Linked DNA regions of Rhinolophus ferrumequinum. The protein of the gene in region 1 interacts with the protein of each later gene in a biochemical or structural test. Links are inferred from orthologs where the notes say so. Each region holds a gene or a part of one and is shown on either strand. Other genes may lie near its edges. The genes, in order: DAPK3 and PAWR.

What was found.
Region 2: of the proteins of DAPK3 (region 1) and PAWR, one has a biochemical effect on the other in vitro, tested with the Homo sapiens proteins (2 studies listed by BioGRID). The link is inferred for Rhinolophus ferrumequinum from reciprocal best matches to the Homo sapiens genes DAPK3 and PAWR.

What each region holds. Positions count from the first base shown.
Region 1 is NC_046301.1:59,575,094-59,584,895, reverse strand, and holds the start of DAPK3 (death-associated protein kinase 3), read right to left. Parts: upstream 4,644-9,802; 5' UTR 4,570-4,643; intron 4,439-4,569; exon of another isoform or gene 4,233-4,438; intron 3,555-4,232; 5' UTR 3,460-3,554; coding exon 3,398-3,459; intron 1-3,397. UniProt on the Homo sapiens protein: Serine/threonine kinase which is involved in the regulation of apoptosis, autophagy, transcription, translation and actin cytoskeleton reorganization. Involved in the regulation of smooth muscle contraction.
Region 2 is NC_046293.1:73,412,015-73,421,242, forward strand, and holds the start of PAWR (PRKC apoptosis WT1 regulator protein), read right to left. Parts: upstream 3,848-9,228; 5' UTR 3,720-3,847; intron 3,228-3,719; 5' UTR 3,105-3,227; coding exon 2,580-3,104; intron 1-2,579. UniProt on the Homo sapiens protein: Pro-apoptotic protein capable of selectively inducing apoptosis in cancer cells, sensitizing the cells to diverse apoptotic stimuli and causing regression of tumors in animal models.

The DNA.
Region 1 (9,802 bases):
AGTTCATTCAGCCCTGACTCCTAGGACAGGAAAACGTAGGCCTGCTTTACTTGAGGTCTGTCACCACAGTGATTCCCCACAGCTAATTCCCCAAAGACAGTCAATAACTAGACTCAGGAAAGATAGTTCTGCTTGAAACTAAATTCCAATTCAATCTTGCCTGTGAAACGCAAGAGCTTATCATGGTGGGCAACTTCACAGGCGCAGTGAAGTGAAATAAGATGGTGTTTGGGGCATAAGGACACACCGACTTCCCAACACGCAGGGCTTATCTTTGTTTGGACATCTAACGGGCCCGTTACCAGGATATGGGGGCAGAGCAGGCTGGCAGGCAGGTGGAAGCCAAATACCTACCTCTGGTTCCAGCACGCCTGGGCTTTGGAGCCAGCAGGGTTTGGTCCCAAGATCTGAATCCTGCTTGGCCACTGACAGGCTGCGTGGCCTTGGGTAAGCCGCCGCCCTCTACTCAGCCTCAGTTTCTTTATCTACAATGAGGATAATGGCACCTGCCTCGTAGGTCCTTTGGTAGATGAACGGAAGTAACATAAAGACAGCCTAGAATTCAGATGTCCAAACGACATCTACAATTTATACAAGTTACAACACAGTGTGCAGTGTTCTATGCCATTAATCCTTCACTTCATGTATCTCTGAGAATGTTCCCAACCATCACACAGAGCAGTGCTGGCCAAGGTAGCAGCCACTGGCCACAAGGCACTGTCAAGCCCGTCCAAATCGAGATGTTCTGTGAGCCAACAATACACACCACACTTCAAAGGCTTCATATCAAAAAGAGGTGCTAGGGACAGCCGGATGGCTCAGTTGGTTAGAGCGCAAGCTCTGAACAAGGTTGCCGATTCAATTCCCACATGGGATGGTGGGCGGCGCCCCCTGCAACTAGATTGAGGCTGGCGACTGGGCTTGGAGCTGAGCTGCACCCTCCACAGCTAGACTGAGGACAACTTGAGCAGAGCTGCCACTGAGCTGCCGAGGGGCAGCCGGATGGTTCAGCTGGTTAGTGTGTACTCTTAACAAGGTTGCCGGTTCGATCCCCACATGGGCCACTGTGTACTGCGCCCTCCATAACTAGATTGAAACAACTACTTGACTTGGAGCTGATGGATCCTGAAAAAACACACTTAAAATTTAAAAAAAAAAAAAAAAAAGGTTAAAAAGAAAAAAAATCTTCAAAGTGCATAAAATTAGGCAGTTCTTGCCACCCTTTTAAGCAGGTCTTGATCCATCTGCAGTAATGGCCCCTGTACATTTCTAATAGTCACCATTACTTTTGTTTTCTCTATTCTTTTTTGGGTTTTTTTCTTTTTTCTTTTTTTTTTAAAGATTTTATTGGGGAAGGGGAACAGGACTTTATTGCGGAACAGTGTGTTTTTCCAAGACTTTTTATTGGGGAACGAAGAGTAGTGTGTTTTTCCCAAGACTCATCAGCTCCATACAAGTCAAGTTGTTGTTTCAGTTTTAATTGTGGAAGGTGCAGCTCAGCTCCAGGTCCAGTCGCCGTTTGTTGCAGGGGGCGCAGCCCACCATCCCTTGCGGGAGTCGAACCAGCAGCCTTGTGGTTGAGAGCCCATGCTCCAACCAACTGAGCCACCCGGGAGCTCAGCGCCAGTTCATTGACTTCATTTTAGTTGCGGAGGGCGCAGCTCGCTGGCCCATGTGGGCATTAAATCAGCAGTCCCGTTGCCCAGAGCTCACGCGCTAACAAACTGAGCTACCCGTCCGCCCCCTTGCCACCCACTCTTGTATTTTCGCTTTCGCTAGCCAAATTGTCCTGAATCTCGCTTTTCCACATTTTTGGAGGGTTATTTGAAATTTTTTGTCATATTTTTAAAATATTTTTTGGAAGAGCTGCTAATTTTATTTCAAAAAAACAAAGCTGTAAAAATATGCCTCCTTTTTAAGAAGAACCCCTCCCTCCAGGACATTTAATGCAGCATCACAGTGCACAGGGTCAGGCTTGAAGGGAGTGTCTCGGTGCAGACGTGCTTTCTTTCCAGTGGCTATAAAAAGTTTGTATTTATTATATATAAAATGTTGAATGATAAAAAAACGGAATTATTATTTCACTAATAATTGCTATACTGATTACATGATGATTACAAAATGACACGGGGGCGGCTGGTTAGCTCCGTTAGTGGGCCACTGTGAGCTGCGCCCTCCACAACTAGACTGAAACACCTACTTAACTTGGAGCTGATGGGTCCTGGAAAAACACACTTAAATAAAAGTTTATAAAAAAGCAAAATGATAATAGTTTGATCAGGTTAAATGAAATATATCATTAAAATTATTAAAACTGACACAGCTTTTAAATTTTCAATTAAATTTCAATCAATTTCTTCTGTGGCTCACATTACACAAGGTGCCTGGCTCTTTTAATGGCTGCATAATGTTCCATCTATGGATGCAGGGGTGCTGTGATGGCCGCTGAAGATGCTTCCCATCTTCTGCTCTTATAAAATCTTTATAGCAACTCTCCCTGTTCCTAGGTCATTGGGTCCATGTATGTATGTATTCACACTGAATTAATTCCTAGCAGTGGAACCTGTGGGTTAAAGGGAATACACATACGACATTTTGCTGAATTTTGCGAAACTATCCTCAGCAGGCTATCCTAATACATTTTCAACAATAAAGTATGAGATTTGGGGTGAGGGGTGCTGCATTCACTACCACTCTAAAGGGGAAATTCCTAAAGGAGAGACTTCAGAATCCCAAATGAGCCTGAAACACTCTCTCAGCAAAGGCCTGAAAGCAGGGCTCAGTTATTTACATTCCCTTCTGGTGACATCATGGGGCCAGCCAGCAGCAAACTCACCAAATAAGGTTTGAGGCTCCACCAAAAACAAAAAGGGATAGTGCCTAGCTGATCTGGGGTGGCGGGGGAGTCAGCTCCCAGGGGAGGCTATAAGGCCCGGCCAGGCAGGAAATCAGCTGCCTGGCTGGCACAGAAAGCCTCCCCTCTCTCCCACAAGAATGCTACACAACTGGCAGGGTTGTGGGCCCAGACCGGAGGCCTTCCCTGGAAAGGTCAAGACCTGGGAAGACTCAAGTACCACCCCTAAGAGAGGATTAAGAGAGGAACAGACCTTTACCTACAAAAGCTGCTAACACCTACTGCTCTCACGCCATATGCCAGGCACTGTGTCATACCATATGTGCTCAATTACGTTTCTCCCCAAAGGAAAATGCAGAGAGGATGTCAGAGTAAGAACTCTCGGCCAGGCTGTCTGGTTCCAAAGCCCAAACTTGTTTCACCGGCACATGACCCTGACTCATTCCTTTTAGGAGAGTAGGATAGAGGACAGGAGAGGAGAACTATCCAGAAAACCCCTCAGTGCCTCTCCCACCCTGGAGCCTTGTCAAAGGGGTCACTCACCTGCCCAGCTCCTCCCCCATCTCATAGTGGTCTTCCACATCTTCCTGCCTGAATGTGGACATGGTGGTCGGTCTGCCTTCCAGCACCTTCTGCTCCAGTGAAAGCCCAGTCACCGCAGCCTGGGGACAGGACCTCGGGGAGTCCCCCAGCCGTGATCCTGGAGGAGACAGGGAAATGGGGAAGGAGTGAGATGCCAGCCATTACTCATAGTAAACGAAGCAACCTGATCACCAAAAATAGGTTTCACATCACTCCACGCTGAAGTTCCACGCTCCCTGGGAAGGACACTTGAATTTGGCAGGCCAGGTACTTTCGTGTGTCATCTCACTTAGACACTAAACCGGCCAAAAGGCCGCCATTAGCCCGAAAGTGCCACCTTGCCCCCCAACTCCCACCAGGCACATACCTCTGGTTCCTCACACACTGCCCCAGCCTTTCTCTGCTTCTTCCCTCCTAGGCTTCTCCCACCAACTCATCCAGGGCCCCCACACATTCCTGCAAGTTCCCCCCGCTTCACACTCCCGAGCCCCAGAACTCCCTCACTCCCTGCCCAACTTCCCGGTGCCAGTCCCAACACTCCCATCTCCGTGCCCATCAGCACTCTCGAGTCCTCTTCATCCTCACCCATGCGCTCCACATACCCCCACCTCAGCCGTCCCTTAAGGCCCTCCTCAGCGGTATGCTCCCCCCAATACTGAATTCTCCAGGAACTGGACAATAGCTTCCAAGCTCCTGCAAGCTCCCTACCCATTCTGGCCTACCCTTGAACTCCACCGTGCTAGCAAGACCCCTCTTCCCTCTCCTCAAAGGCATCCCTCCAGGTAAAGGCCCCCACCTCCGGCTCCCTCACTCCGAATGCGTCCCCGGCAAAGAGCCACATCTGAGAGTCTCCTCCATTGCCCGTCGCCCCCAACCTTCCCTCAAACTCCATGGCAGACCCGGAAATCCCCCTTCATAAACCCTTCCAAGGGTCCCCAACCGGTAACGTCTCTGCTCACGTGCCCCAGAGGCCACCACGCCCCTCACAGGCCCCGGCCCAGACCCCTCTCCGGCTCGGTCATCCCAGAAGTCCCCCAAACGTGCCGCAGGTCCCCCAAGGGTTCACACACACACACACACACACACACACACACACACACACTCAACAGCCTCGAATAAAGCCCACTCCTCACCCTCCACAGCCCCGCGGCCCCAGCCCGCCCCTCCGCCGCGCTGGCCGCCTCTACGCGCTGACCTGCGGCTACGTCACCGTGGCCGCCCGTGCTTTCCTCTGGGAGGCGGAGACCCATTGGTCAGCGCCCCTGTCGATCGTGACGCCCCTCCCCTGCTTCCTGTCAGGCCCAGGTCCGCTAGCGTTCGGCCCTCCGCACCCGGATGCCTCGTTTCCATTGGTCGACAGGCTCGCCTTTATGAAGCTGATTGGCTATAATGGAAGCCGGTCAAGCTTACGGAAGTCAGAAGATCGACTTTCGGCCCCTGGGTCGCCCCGCCCGCTCTTCTCTGACCTGGGTCCTGAAGCTGGAAGGTGCACGCCGAAGTCCTGCATCCCTCTTCCTGCCTTTCTTAGTCACAAGATATACGAATCCAAGGTCCAGCTCCGGCATGGCAGCTCCTGGGCTGCTTTAGTCCCCGAGTAGCTGTAAAATGTTACCCACATTCCAAATCCGTAAATAAAAATACACATGAGGAGTTCAGTTAGGTGTTGCCTTTCCCTCTTGAGGATCCTTCTATGATTCCTGTCTGTCTCGAGACGAAACAAAACAAAAAAACCTTAGGAGGTAAATTATATTATTTCCCCCGTTCTACAGATGGGGAACTGAGCCACAGAGAGGTTAAGTAACCCACCCAAAATCACACAGCCAGTAAATGACACAGCTGAGATTGATTCCCAGATAGGCCTGAACCCAAATTAATGCTTAACCACCTCAGACACTAGACTGTCTTTTGGCTTTTGCTGACCACCCTAACATCGTGCCATTCTCCTCTTGTTCACTCTACTTTAAACCCACGTGCCTTCCTTCTGACTTCAAACATTTCATTCCTAACCCAAGTGTTGGCACGAGCTGTTTCTTCTGCCTGGAGATCACCTTCCTCCAGTCCTGTCTAAGAACTATACACACATCAGTTCACAGCTAAATCAGCACCTTCTTCCATACCCAGTTTCACCCTATTGTTATGTCTTCCATTAGTATAGTACATGTCTTACAATTGAAGAAATCAGCGGTGATACATTTTTATTAACCAAAGTCCCTACTTTTGTTCAGATTCCTGAGTTTCCCGGTCCTTTCTCTGTCCCAGGATCCCATCCAGGATCCCACATGACATTTAGTAATCACAGCTTAGGCTCCTCTTGGCTATGACAGTTTTCTCTTTCCTGTTTTTAGTGACTGGCAGTTTTGAGGGTTGGTCAGGTATTTTGTATTATTGCAAAAACCGCAATTACTTTAGTACCAACCTAATAGAATTTCCCTCAATTGAGGTATCTGATGTTTTTCTCATGGTTTGACTGGGGTGATGGGTAATGTATTACATAGTAAAGTGCCATTTTCATCACATCCTATCCAGGGTCCATACGATCCACATGACTTATCACTGTTGATGTTGACCCTGTCACCTGGCTCTAGGTTAGTTTGATAGGTTTCTCCACTATACTTTTCTCTCCCCTTCCATACTGTATGCTTTGGAATTACTTCTGCGCAGCCCACACTTAATGAGAAGTTGAAACATCATTTTTACTTCCAAAAAAACCTGACAAACTATAATAATTCAGACTTGTGTGTTTTTTCACAGAAGCATTTTCTCAAAAATGAACAAATTGAAACTGTCAATTCAAGGATAACAGTTGACAGTAATGGTTGCCAATGGCAAAATTTCAAGCAAAAAATTAAATTTTCAAAAACTGCTTGACAGTTTCCCAATACTTCCACACTTTCCTGATGAAATTGATATTGACAAATTTGATTTTTCAAGTGTTTAATGAACTATGTCAACATCTCAAATAGCTGCAAACTTGGTTTACCAATATTGCGAAACCACCACCACTTGGTGTTATAAAATCGTGCCTGGAGAAAAGACCCATTCAAAGTGCAAGACAGACCAATAGATTTTAATGTAACAGTACGAAAAGCTCATTAATGTGGTTTCAGATGCATTGTAATTTCTATTTAAGAAACCAACACTTGGGGCCAGACCAGTGGTTCAGGTGGTTGGAGTGCCCAGCTCCTAATGCCGAGGTCGCTGGTTCGATTCCCACATGGGCCAGTGAGCTGCGCCCTCTGCAGCTAAGATTGTGAACAACAGCACTTCCTGGAGCTAGGCTGCCATGAGAACCTGGAGGTTGGCGTGAGCTGCTGAGTGGTGCCGTGGGCGACCGTGTGCAGCTGGCGAGAGCTGCTGTAAATGGCCCAGCGGCCACCAGCTGAGGCTCATAATACCAGCATGGGCCAGGGTGTGTCCTACACAACTAGACTGAGAGACAACGGCTTGAACCGGAGTGTGAGGGGGAAGTGGAAGAAAGGAGGAAAAAATTAAAAAAAAACAAAAACACCACTTGTTGAGTTTTGGTTTTGTATCAAAGAATATCCACAATTATCTGAAAAAAGGTATTAAAATGCTTCTCTCTTTTCCAAGTTTGGGATGAGTGAGGGTAGGTTCTCTCCCTATAATTCAACCAAAACAACGTATTGAAACATTTAATACAGAAGCAAACATGAGACTCCAGCTGTCTTCTATTACGCCAAAGACTGCAGACTTGCAAAAATGTAGAATAATCCCACTCTCATGTTTTGTTTTGAAAAACAGAGAACTTTTCCCCTAAAAATAGGTTATTTATGTTAAAATGTAATGAGTTTATTGCTATTTTAAAATCAGTAACTTTTTTAAATTTCTTAATTTTAATTTTTAAATACGGTATATGTCAGTAGATATACCCATTTAAACTCTGGGACCCTCAGTGTTTGAGAGTGTACAGCGGTCCGGACACCAAAACAACTGAGAAAAATAACTAAAATCAAAAGACAACAAATGTAAGTAGAGAGCAATACACACGTACAAATATACACACACTTGTAACATACTAATAATGTTCAAGTCTCGTGACCTTAAGGACTGACGGTAGCAGTCAGCCCCTATAAACGCAATCACTGTGAATGTGACAACTATAAAAGCACACACAAGTGGCACTGCCACCAGTTAATTTAGAATTGGTGAAAAATTCTTGAAATTAAACCAAATGCAGTTCAATTTTCTCAGTTTATATACTCTTCCCTGGCGCAATTAGTTGGTATTAAAATTGTGCAAAATTCTACTCGGCCTAAAAAATGAAATCTTACTTTTTGCAACGATATGGATGGACCTAGAGAACTTTAAGCTGAGTGAAATAAATCAGACGGAGAAAGACAAATACCTTATGATCTCACTTATATGTGGAATCTGAAGAATAGAATAAATGAGCAAACCAATCAGAAACAGTCTCACAGATATAGGGAAAAACTGAGGGTTGCTAGATGGGAGGGGGTGGGGTGAGGAAGGTGAGGGGATTAGAAAGCACAATCGGTAACCACAAGATTGCTACAGACAACCGAAAGACAGTTTGGGGAATATAATCAATCACGTAAAGATTCTATAGGGTATTTGATGGACACTTGTCTTACTAGGGAGACCAGTTCAGGGACAGTATAGATGCCTGACCACTGCACTGTACACCCGAAGCTGAAGCTGAGTAACAATGAATGTCAACTATAATTTAACATATGTACCAGGTCACACGATGTGGAGTAGAGTAGGGAATAGTCAATGGAATTGTGTAACAGCTCTATACGATGTCAGAGGGGTAGTAGATTGGGGGAGGTGGGTTATCACTTTGTGAGGGGTGTAAATGTCCAACTATTACATCGCTTTGTGCACCTGAAACTAATTTTATAAAATGTGCAAAATGAAATGCAATGTGGTATCCTGGATTGGATCCTGAGAGAAAACGACATTAGTGGAAAACCAAATAAACTGCTAACAGTCATGTTAAGTGTTTCTGAGGTTTGACATAGTGGTTACGTAGGATGTTAACATCTTTGTAACATCTTTGCAACTTTTCTGCATGAAATTATAGTGTTTTATAAGTGTCAAACATCACAGATGACAAAAAATTACCAACACAAAACATCTGGGTGCTAGGGGTCTGGACAGACTGCACAGGACAATTCTTGGATGGGCAGGGATTCCACATATTTGGGACATCCAACCACTCGTTTTCACTTGTTTTTCCAGGACCCATCTGCTCCAACTCTAGTTGTTCCAGTGTAATTGTGGAGTGCAGGCCATTGGCCCAGGTGGGGATTGAACCGACAACCTTGTTAGAGAACCGTGCTCTAACCAACTGAACTAACCGGCCATCCTGTTCCTACTTTCTCAATGCCAATGGGGACTCTCCTGTTTGAGAATTCAAAATGGCCCCCAAGGGGCACTGTCCTTGTTTCAGCTGTCTCAGGGATGCATTTGTGATGCTTATCAAAGATGAAAAAAAAGATCTTGGTCCCACATTACTTGGTCTAGAATTTCTCAACCAATCTGGTTGGGCAAGAGAACGTGTATGGTGCGTGTTTATTTGTGGTTTGCCCTCATTGTACCGTGAACTTTGAGAGCAGGGACAATTTAGTTGCCCAAGCCTGTGCTGACCAATAAGGCATCCCCAGCGCCATGAGACTACGGAAATTTAGAGTCAAAAGATTCAGTTCCTTGGCTTCGCAGGTCTTATTTCCCGTGCTCTTGTAGCCAGCCAGTGGCTGACCCTCTCCACAGCACTTGGGTAGGACAGTTCCATTACAATACGTTCCATTGGACGGAAGGGCTGTTCAACCGCCTTGGATCATGTGTCTGAGCCCAGGCCTGACATTTGAAATGACAATTCGAGGTTACAGAGTTTTCTGTATCGCAGTGTCACAGATGCCATGTGTGCTGGCATGGGGCAAACCCACCCCAGCCTGAGTGGACTGAAGAGGAAGTTGCGTGGACACACACGGTCACCACCATAATCAAATTTATTATTCCAATGGCACTAATACAGCTGGAGGTGCTCATGGTGACACTGCACAATTATTTCCTGCCTTCTAGCTTCTGTCCGAAGAGAAATGTCTACCGCTTGTTCCCTCCCCCTTTCCGGGGGAAAATCCACTAGGGGCCATTTTACCCAAATAAACCTCTTAATGCATTTACTTAGAATTTTTTGACATGAATTTCCCTCTGAAATGGAAAAAAAAAAGTGTTGGGTTTCCCATCCCGCCTCCCCACCAGCCAAATAAGTCCCTGCGGCTAGGGCATATCTGTTGCCTCTGAAATCTTGAAATAAATATCGAAAGAGACGGCATCAAGTGGTCATGTTGAGCGATGGCACGGAGTGGCCCCAGAACCTGC
Region 2 (9,228 bases), on another chromosome or scaffold:
TCTACCCTCATCCACCACTTTCAGTTTTTGACCTGCTTCCTTCCTAAAACTATCTTCTAGATGTTTTGGTATCTTTAGCTGCTGTCAGGTACTTTTACAACAATTTTATAATACTCTGTGATTAGTAAAATAAATTAATGCAATGTGTTACACACGTTTAATACTTCTTGAAGGAACTTACTGTTTATCAACCACTAAAATAAGCTTTTTGCATACAAAATGTTTGCTAATCTAATATAAACTTGGTTGGGAATATGGTCTGAAAATAAGAGTGTCAGTCAACATTATATATAATACAAGTCTATTTCTGAATAATGACAGATTGGTGCTTTTTCTGCTTTTATAATAATTTCATACATGAAAATTTTGTAAAATATTATGACTTTTAAACAGGAGTGCTAAGTAATATTACATGAGAAACTCCACAACAACTGGCATCCTCAATGTTGAAACTACTAATAGAAATGAATGACACACAATTCTAAAAAAGCAACAACCTAAAGATATAAAAATGCTTCATAGCGAATGGTTTGAAGCTTTGAGTCGTATGTTTTACCACTACTACAATAATTTGGGAGAGTTGTTTTCAAACTGAAAATATGGGGAGGAGGAACTCAAGAAGTATGTCTGCTAATTAGATACTGTGATAAAACATTACCATGTTTTGTTGAGTCCTACAGAATGAAACAGAGCCACAGTTACGACAAAAAAAAAAGCACTCCTCAATTCCCTGTTCCATAAAAAAGGTTCAAATTCCACAGACAAAAAAATGGTACCCTGGGTTGTTTGTTTTTAAGGAAGATTAAATTTAGGAGTTGCCAACACCCAAACGAAAAACATTCCAGAGTATTAGACTCAATTATAGTGGGAAGTCATCTACATTCTCAGCACTATGTTCCCTTACCCAAAGTAGGAATATTAACAAAGGATGTTTTTTAGGATCTCACAAGATACACCATACTTATTTCCCCCAGTAAACATTACCCTTGTTAAAAAAACAAAAACAAAATGGTATTTGAAAAATAACAATTTTAGCACAAGCAGCCAAATAATGAAGTTTAACATCTGCCAAGATATTTCCCAAAATAAGACCACTGTCAGATGGATAATGAAGAAAAGACTGAAAATGACAAATTCTTTTATTTGGACCATCAGCTACTTTAGAAAATAAACTTTAGGAATGTAGATTTTCCAAAGCCTTGTCTTGTTTCCCCTTAATCTTCATATTTTTAACTTAAAAAAAAAAAAAACCCTAGAAATTTGATTACCACTCTTGTGAATTCCTTTTAAAGCAATTTAATGAATAACAGATCTTTTGTGCAAGTAGCAAACCACAGAGGATAGTTTGGCTGGCTGATAAAAACCTCTCTGAAACACTCATATAAAAATATACCCTTCAAAGACAAACTGATTTTCCAGGTATGGGAATCATATTAAGACTTAAAAATTTGGGTATGTTTGATATACACCCTAACTTACTACCAATGCGTTTACTTGAACCACAATTAAAGCTCATAAATTCTTATTATTTACTTGGGGTCAGAGTTGAATAAATTGAAAGCCAGGAGTTAAAAAAAAAAAAAGTAAAATATAAGCCAACGATAAAAAGATGCAACTACTTTAGGTGAAACAAGGTGAGCTACATGAAAGTAACCAAAACTTGTTTAGGGTTGTTTTATTTAGGGTAGACAGCGGTGCAGTTACACACTCAGTAAAATGTTTCACCAGTCACTCTAATAGGAAGATGCTGCTGCCTGCAGAAGTATTTTGAGACTGCTCAAAAATACCAAAACAAAACAAAAATCCAACCCTACCACAAATGTTTTCCAGAATACATAGAGCCAAATACTTAAACATGAGATCGTCTTAGTAAAAAGAATTGTGGGTTGCTACGGCGTTCCTATTGTCCTAAATAGCACTCAGAAGTGTGTGTGTGTGTGTGTGTGTGTGTGTGTGTGTGTGTGTGTGTGTGTGTGTGTGTGTGTGTGTGTGTGTGTTGGGGAGCGCTATTTACAAAGGCTGGTTTATATATGAAATAGTGCACATATTCATTTGGATGTACTCATCTTGGGTTCACTGAAAGACAAAGCTGTCTTAGACAAATGCTAAGGCCACGTTTCCTTTACAGGTGCTATATTAAACACTGGTAAGAGAGAAAAAGAGATAAACAATATAACTTGAGACGGACACGTGAAAAACTAGAGTATATCGTCATCACCATTAATCAATTTTTCTAACTGATCAAGCATAGAAAAACAAACCTAGGTGAGCAAGTGCTGGGGCCAGGGATTGTCTTTCCACCACAGTGGGGGAAAAAAAGGATCCCGGGTCTGAGACGTTAGCCAGGAAGCCTGAAAAGCACGTGTCCTACTTGGGGTTTTGAGAACTTCCCAGGAAGCATTTGTTCAGAGTAAAACTCCATCACCCTCTGCCTGCCTAACTCGGTGCAAGGATAAGCGATTCGAGCTACAACAGGGAAACGCTTGGGCCCTGGAGGCCCGGAGCTCCCGGGAAGAAGGTTCCAGCAGGCGGCAGCCCCCGCCCCCACCCGGGTCCGGCCGCGGCCCCCGCCGGCTCACCTCCGCCGCGGGGATGTTGACCACGCCGGTAGAGCGCCGCTTCTCCCGCAGCTTCCTCTTCTCGATCTGCCCCTTGCCTTTCCTGGCACTGGGGCCCGAGCTCTTGCCCTTCTCCGAGGCGCCGTCCCGCTCCTCCTCGTCGCCCCGGGCCGGCGGGGTCCCCGAGGCGGCGGCGGCGGCGCCGGCGAGGGGCTCGTCCTCAGGCCGCCGCGGGCCGGGGGCCGCCCGGGTCAGCGCCGCGGGTCCCACCGCGCAGTTCACGCCCCCGGGGGCGGCAGGTGCGGCCGCGCCTCCCGGGAGGTTGTTGTTGAGCTCGTTAGCCGCGGCGGCCGCCGAGGTGCCGAGAGCCCCTGGCGGGGGCTTTCCGACCGCGTCGCTGCTGCCCCCTCCCGGGGCGGCCGGGCCCGGGGGGCTCTGCTTGGCGCGCAGCTTCTCGCGCTTCGCCTTCCACTCCTCCAGGAAGTCTGTGGTGCTGCTGCTGCTGCTGCTGCCGCCGCCGCCCGGTCGGTAGCCACCGGTCGCCATATTCCCAGCGGAGCCGGCCGGGCTCTCACCTCAGGCCGCCCACCCGGGCTCCGGCCGCCGCCGCCTCTTCCTGCCCGCGGCCCGGAGGGTGAGAGAACGACCCCCGCGGGAGCGGCCGGCCGTCTGAGGGGAAACACAAAAGGGGGCGGAGAAGCGAAGCGTAAGGTCCTCGCCCGGCCCGAGGGTCTCCCCGCGGCCGCGCCGCTCGGAGCCCCCACCCAGAGCGCGCCCACTCGTGCCCGCCGGCGAGTGGCTGCCGAGTCCCCAACCTGCGAAGTTTGTCCGACGCACCTACACCGCGGACGGGACGATCACCGCCCCTCGAGGGGAGGAGAAAGGGACTGTCCCCACCCCCGGCCCCCGCCCCATCCCCAGCGGGGTCCGCGCCTACGGCGGTCGGGGGACCAGGGCCGGACCCGGCCACCAGTCGGCCCGTCGCATCTCCTGCACCTCGCTCCGCGCACTGCCGGCCCGGGGTCCCCGCCACCGACACCCCCACTCCCCGGCGAGGCGCGGAGCCCCCGCAGCTCGCGGAGGCGGCGGGACGTGTAGACACCAGCTATCCAGCGGACTTGGGGAGGGACGGGTGCGGGGGCGGCCGGGGCAGCCCCTTACCTGGGAGGGGTTTGCGGGACGGGACGCTGGGCTGGGAGCGGGCGCCCAGGTGAGCGGAAGCGGCCGCGCGGAAGGAGCTGCGGCCAACTCGCCGTCCCGAGCTCGCCGCGCACCGGGCTGGGGGGGAGGGAAGGAGGGAGGGAGCGAGGGGCGGGAGGGGAGCCGAGCGGCGCCGAAGCGCGGGCGGAAAGGGCCGAGACGGCGCGGAGGGGCGCGGCGCGCGATGGGTGGGGGGTCGTGCCCGCCGCCGCCCCGCCCCGCCCCCGGCGCTCAGGTGCACGGCGCCGCGGCCAGCCCGCCGGTCGGACCGCGCATTCCTGGGCTCGCGGCCCCGCGGCGTCCGGCCTCTTGGCGCCTCCGACTCCGGGCGGGAACGGCCCCCCACGCCCTTCACCCGGCTCCTCATCTCCGCCTCTCCCTTCTCCCACCACTCTTCCTTTTAAGTACAAGACAGATTCTTCGAGGGAAAGTCTCGAATGCTGCTGGCAGAGGGGGCAAATGCAATCAACTTGGGATGATTCAGGCCTGACTAGCCAGGATGGGAAAACACTCGCGCGTCCCTCTGCCTCGTCGCCAACCCCTTCTCAGATGTACTAGGGTGGCAGGTAAAGAATAGAAAGAACTGATACAAACCCAGCCCCCTCCTTACTAAGAAAAGTTTGTGGTATCCTAGTGCAAGGGTTACCTAAAAGGAGGGGCTTAAGTCGACAGTTAAGGGTTTACTATTATACGTATAGAAGAAAACTTAAAAACATTTCGACAATGGATTGGATCTCAATTCTATTGGAATTTTCTTCTTAACCCTGTCTCTACATCTCCTCTTTGCAGATAGTGAATTTAGCAGCAAAGCTGCCTACCAAAGTACTAAAGCTGCGTTGATGCTGATTTGCTAGGAGCTGGGGCGGTGGGAGCCTCTATGTTTCCATCCTTAAGGCGCCGTAGGGTAAATCTTATCCTCAGATGCAAATCATCTAAGATTCCTGGATCAGGGCTGGGTGGGCTGCCCGTGACAGGGTCCTAAGGAGACTTACTACAAGCAGTGCCGGGGAAACATCCCTGTCATAGGGTACAAATGGACCATTTTGGAAGAAGTAGGCGAGCCCTGAGTCACACTCTTACCGAACAGTAAATCTCTCTTCCTATTTAGTATTCCTGTTTCACCCAGGTGGCTCGCGGTGGGTAGGCAGTCATTGTGTGCCTGCGACAGGAATGAGAACAGGAAAAAGTGATTCACTTGCTATTTATTTCTCAGAGGGGAGGTCATACAGTTCTGGTCTTTGGTCTCGCTGTTGGGGTGAACATATGGGTTACCGGGAGAGAGCTCTGGAAAAATCCTTAGAAAATTAAAGGCCTTCCTTGGGGATGGGTTTAAAATGCGGAGCCTAGCTGGTACCAACCTGGGTGCACCACTTGCAATTCCTCAATTACAGATTCTTCATTAGTTTGTTTTCTGAGTTTTAAGAGAGGAGAGGGAGGGTTGGGCATTAAACAGATTCATATGAATATGCTTGGAGGGGCTGCAGGATGCAGTGGAAAGAGGATATAGTCAGCCTGGATACAACTATAAGTAGCTGAGAGGTCTTGGGCATGTTTAAATTCTCTGAAACTCAGCTTTCTTTACTATAAAAGTCAGCAGCGACAGCATATACAGAGGGTGCCAAAAAATGTATACACATTTTAAGAAAGGAAAAGTGTATTAAAATTGTAATACTCAATATATACCGATAACAAAAGATGAATATAAGTCACGTTTGACTTCTGCAATTACAAGAGGTGCTCAGAGAGGTTACCATCAGTGTCCAGACACTTCTGATTACGGCGAACTGCTGTTTGAGCAACGTTGACCAAAGTGTCCACTTTCATACATTTTTGGGCACCCCCAGTATTTTTAAGCTGTTATAAGAATTGACATGGCAGGCGTGTTAACTGAGCTTGGTTCTAGGAAGGCACTCAGTAAATACAGTGCCTTTTATTAATGGGATATCACGCAGAGAGAGTCCTGGGTCTCTAAGATGTGGGGGGTTGGGTGGAATTAGGCAACAAAGGTACTGCACACACAAATGAACTTGAAAACAATAAGCTGAATAACTAGAATAACACTTATGCCACATAAATTTGTCACTGCATCTCTTAGACCAGTATTAATAGGCTCTGAGTCAGGAATGTTGGCTATTACTGACTAGTGTGGCTTTGAGTAAGTTGCTTAACTTTTGTGCCTCTGTTTACTTACATATAAAATAGGGATAATAATAATACTTCCTACATTGTGAGAGTGTTGTGAAAGTGCCTGAGGTCCTTAGATAAAAGGTAATATGTGAGTACCGGAGTAGTTATTATTAGTCTATAAAGTGCCCTAGGAACCATGGATGAAAGAGATTATTGATGTACAAAGCACTATATATTATTATTGTTACCATTTATTATACCTTTGTCTTTACCATTCTCAATATTCCCAAAGATATAGTTCACAGACAGACAACTTCCAATAGTGCATCAAGATATTTAGCTGAATCAATCCTAAATTGCAAAATGTTTGTATATCATCGATCTTGATGTATAGCATTCTGATGAAATAATCATCAGAGACTCGGAACTTGTTTCTCAGCTGCATCATTATTGACATTTGGGACAAACTAATTCTTTGTTCGGGGAGTTGTCCTGTCCATTGTAGGATATTTAGCATCATCCTTGGCTTTTACTTATTAGATGCCAGTATCTGCCCCCAATCCCGGTTGTGACTGCCAGATGTTCCCCGAGGGGCAAAATCTTCCCCAGTTGAGAAGCTCTGAGCTAGCTTAAAATAACTAACTTTGGTGACTCACTTGCTCTTAATAATAAAGGGAAGTATGATGCTAACAAAACAGAGAGATTCATTTTAATATGTCAGATTGAAATTTATTCTAAATGTTAAATCTTAATGTTTTCTAGGCAGTAGATTAGCTGTAATGTGAAATAGCCTATTTGTATGTGTTGAAATAATTAATAGGATATTGGGAAATAGCCATTTTGCCTTCTGGAGTATATGCAATTCACCCTCAAAAATAAGACACGTACATGGTTTTAAAAGTTAAATACTTTAGTTCTGCATGGACTATAGCAAAAGACTGCAACCTACCCTTTCCACTCCCAAAACCCTTTCCAGAAGTTGGAACTCTTTTAACTGTTTTTGCTAATATAGATCTTCATGTTTATTTTTTTAATGTTTCTAATACACATCTTCATACTTATTTTTTTAAATGTCCTTATCTGCTATTCTACTTTTTGATTTTTCCATTTTTTGACATCCTTTACTGACTTCCTAATACAGAAGAATATTTAACGCTCTTACACTAACTACATATACACTTTCCTTACTCCTAAATGCCCACTATATATCATGATTTTATTGAAGAACATTAAATGTTTACACTGTTATGACTATGCAAATATTGCTCATAGCTGAGCCATACAGTGTACTATGATTTATTTTTTTAACAACTTTTTTCTGTTGCACAACTATTTTTTCCACAGTTAAAATTTGTGTTTGTTGTTGTTGTTGTTTTCCTTCTCATTAGCTTATTTTTCTGTATACCAGTCACAAATTGACACTGAAACTTTTTCACCTCTCAACGTTAATCACATGGTGTACTCCATCAGTTCTATTTCTGTTTTCCTTGGAGACATCTCCTCTTAGAGCCCTCCATCCTCTGCTCTAGTCTGGATTGATTTTAAAGCACGTTGCTCCGTGGTTATCCTGGGATGATGCTTCCCTGTCATCCTGGGAATCATTTCCTGTGCAGACCCCTTGTTTCCTGAATCCCCTATTGTCCTCTTGTTTTTTCCCCCTCGTTTTAGTGGAGTACATGCTCAATATATTCTGGAGATAGGATTACACATTCTTGGAGACTTTGCAGGTTGGAAAAGGTTTTTAATTTGTCTCTGCACTTGATTAATAGTTTGTTGGGACATAGAACACTAGATTGGATATTTTCCTTCATAACTTTGAACACATCACTATATTGTCTTCTGGTTTCCAGAGTTGATGTTTAGAAAAGCAATGGCATTCTGATTCCTTTTATTTTCTCACTGGAAGTTTTTAGATCTTCTTACCCAGATCTTCCAAAATATCTTGAAGATTTGCCCTGATTTGGTCTTTTCTCATTATTATATTAGGCTCAGTGGACCCTTTCATTCTGCTTTCTGCCCTTCAATTGGAAAATGTCCTTGGCCTATAGCTGTGATAATTATTCCTTTCCATTTTTCCTGTTCTCTGTTTCTGGAATCCTCTTAAATAGATGTTGGACTTCTAAGAGCTCTCTAATAGTTTTTTTAATATTTTTTCTCCTGTTTCCATCTCTTTAGCATGTTGTTCTACTTTCAGTGAAATTTCCCCCACCTTATATGTCAATCTTTCTATTGAATTTTCTGGTTTTGCCACCATGGTTTTCTAAGATTTCTCATTCTCTAAATGCTTTTCTCCATAGTATCCTATTCTTGTGTCATCATCTTTTCTCTCCCTACGGAAATTGAACTTTTCTCCTGCTGGTCTTTCACTGTCTCTTGTCTATGTATTCCTTTTTTTTTCTTTTTCATTGTTTTATTCTTCACCTTTCATGTTAGAGGATTTCCTCATCAGTCTGTTGTTCATTCATATTTAAGACTGCAGCACTTAAAAGCTGATTGGATGCTCCTCTGTGAAAAGGCAGAGCTTACTGATTGACGGTCCTCATTTAGGAGGGTGTTGTTTGGACCCAGGCATGTTGTGAAAGCATGGGTCAAATGTCAGTATCTATGACGTTTTTCTCTTGGCCAGATCGATTTCCCTGAGAGAAACTGTGCTCCTGCCTGTGTTGCCACTTGTCAACTGTTTCAGCCAAGTAGGGAAAAAGAGCTGGGGGAGTCTCACTACTCAACATACGGATTTCACTGAGTCCCTATGCTCAGTATGCCTGGTGTTCTCAAGTTCATTACACTCGTGATTCAATATATACAGAGCATTAATTTCCAGCACTCTGCCAAGATCAAGAGAGACAGCCTCCTTGCTACTGAGCCTTGAAGAGCAGCATCTAACTTTTCCGTATGCAGATTTTCAACTAATCCTTCTGTTTTCCCTCCCATCCTTTGCTGTCTTTCAGAGGTATATGCTGTTGCCTTCAACTTCTAGGTTGTCTTTAGGGTTCTTCAGGATAAAAAAGGATTACTTCTTATTGACTTTGTCTCCTGCAGGTGGTTAGAATTCATCTTTCTCCACTCTGCTAAAGTCTATCTGTTTTCCAGCTTTCATTTTCTAAAATTTTCTTCTCATCTCTCATCCTCTTTGTTGTTACTCGTTATCACTTTACTTTTGTTTTAGTGAAGTTACTTGAGGGAGTAGAGATAAACATGTGTGTTCACTCTTAACAGGAAGTCTATAATCAATCCATCGATTCTGCAGATGCTTTGAAATCTAAACCATGATGAAGCCAGATCAGTAGAGACCTATACATCTTATTTCCCTCCTCACTGAATGACATCATAAGCCCCTCCTAAC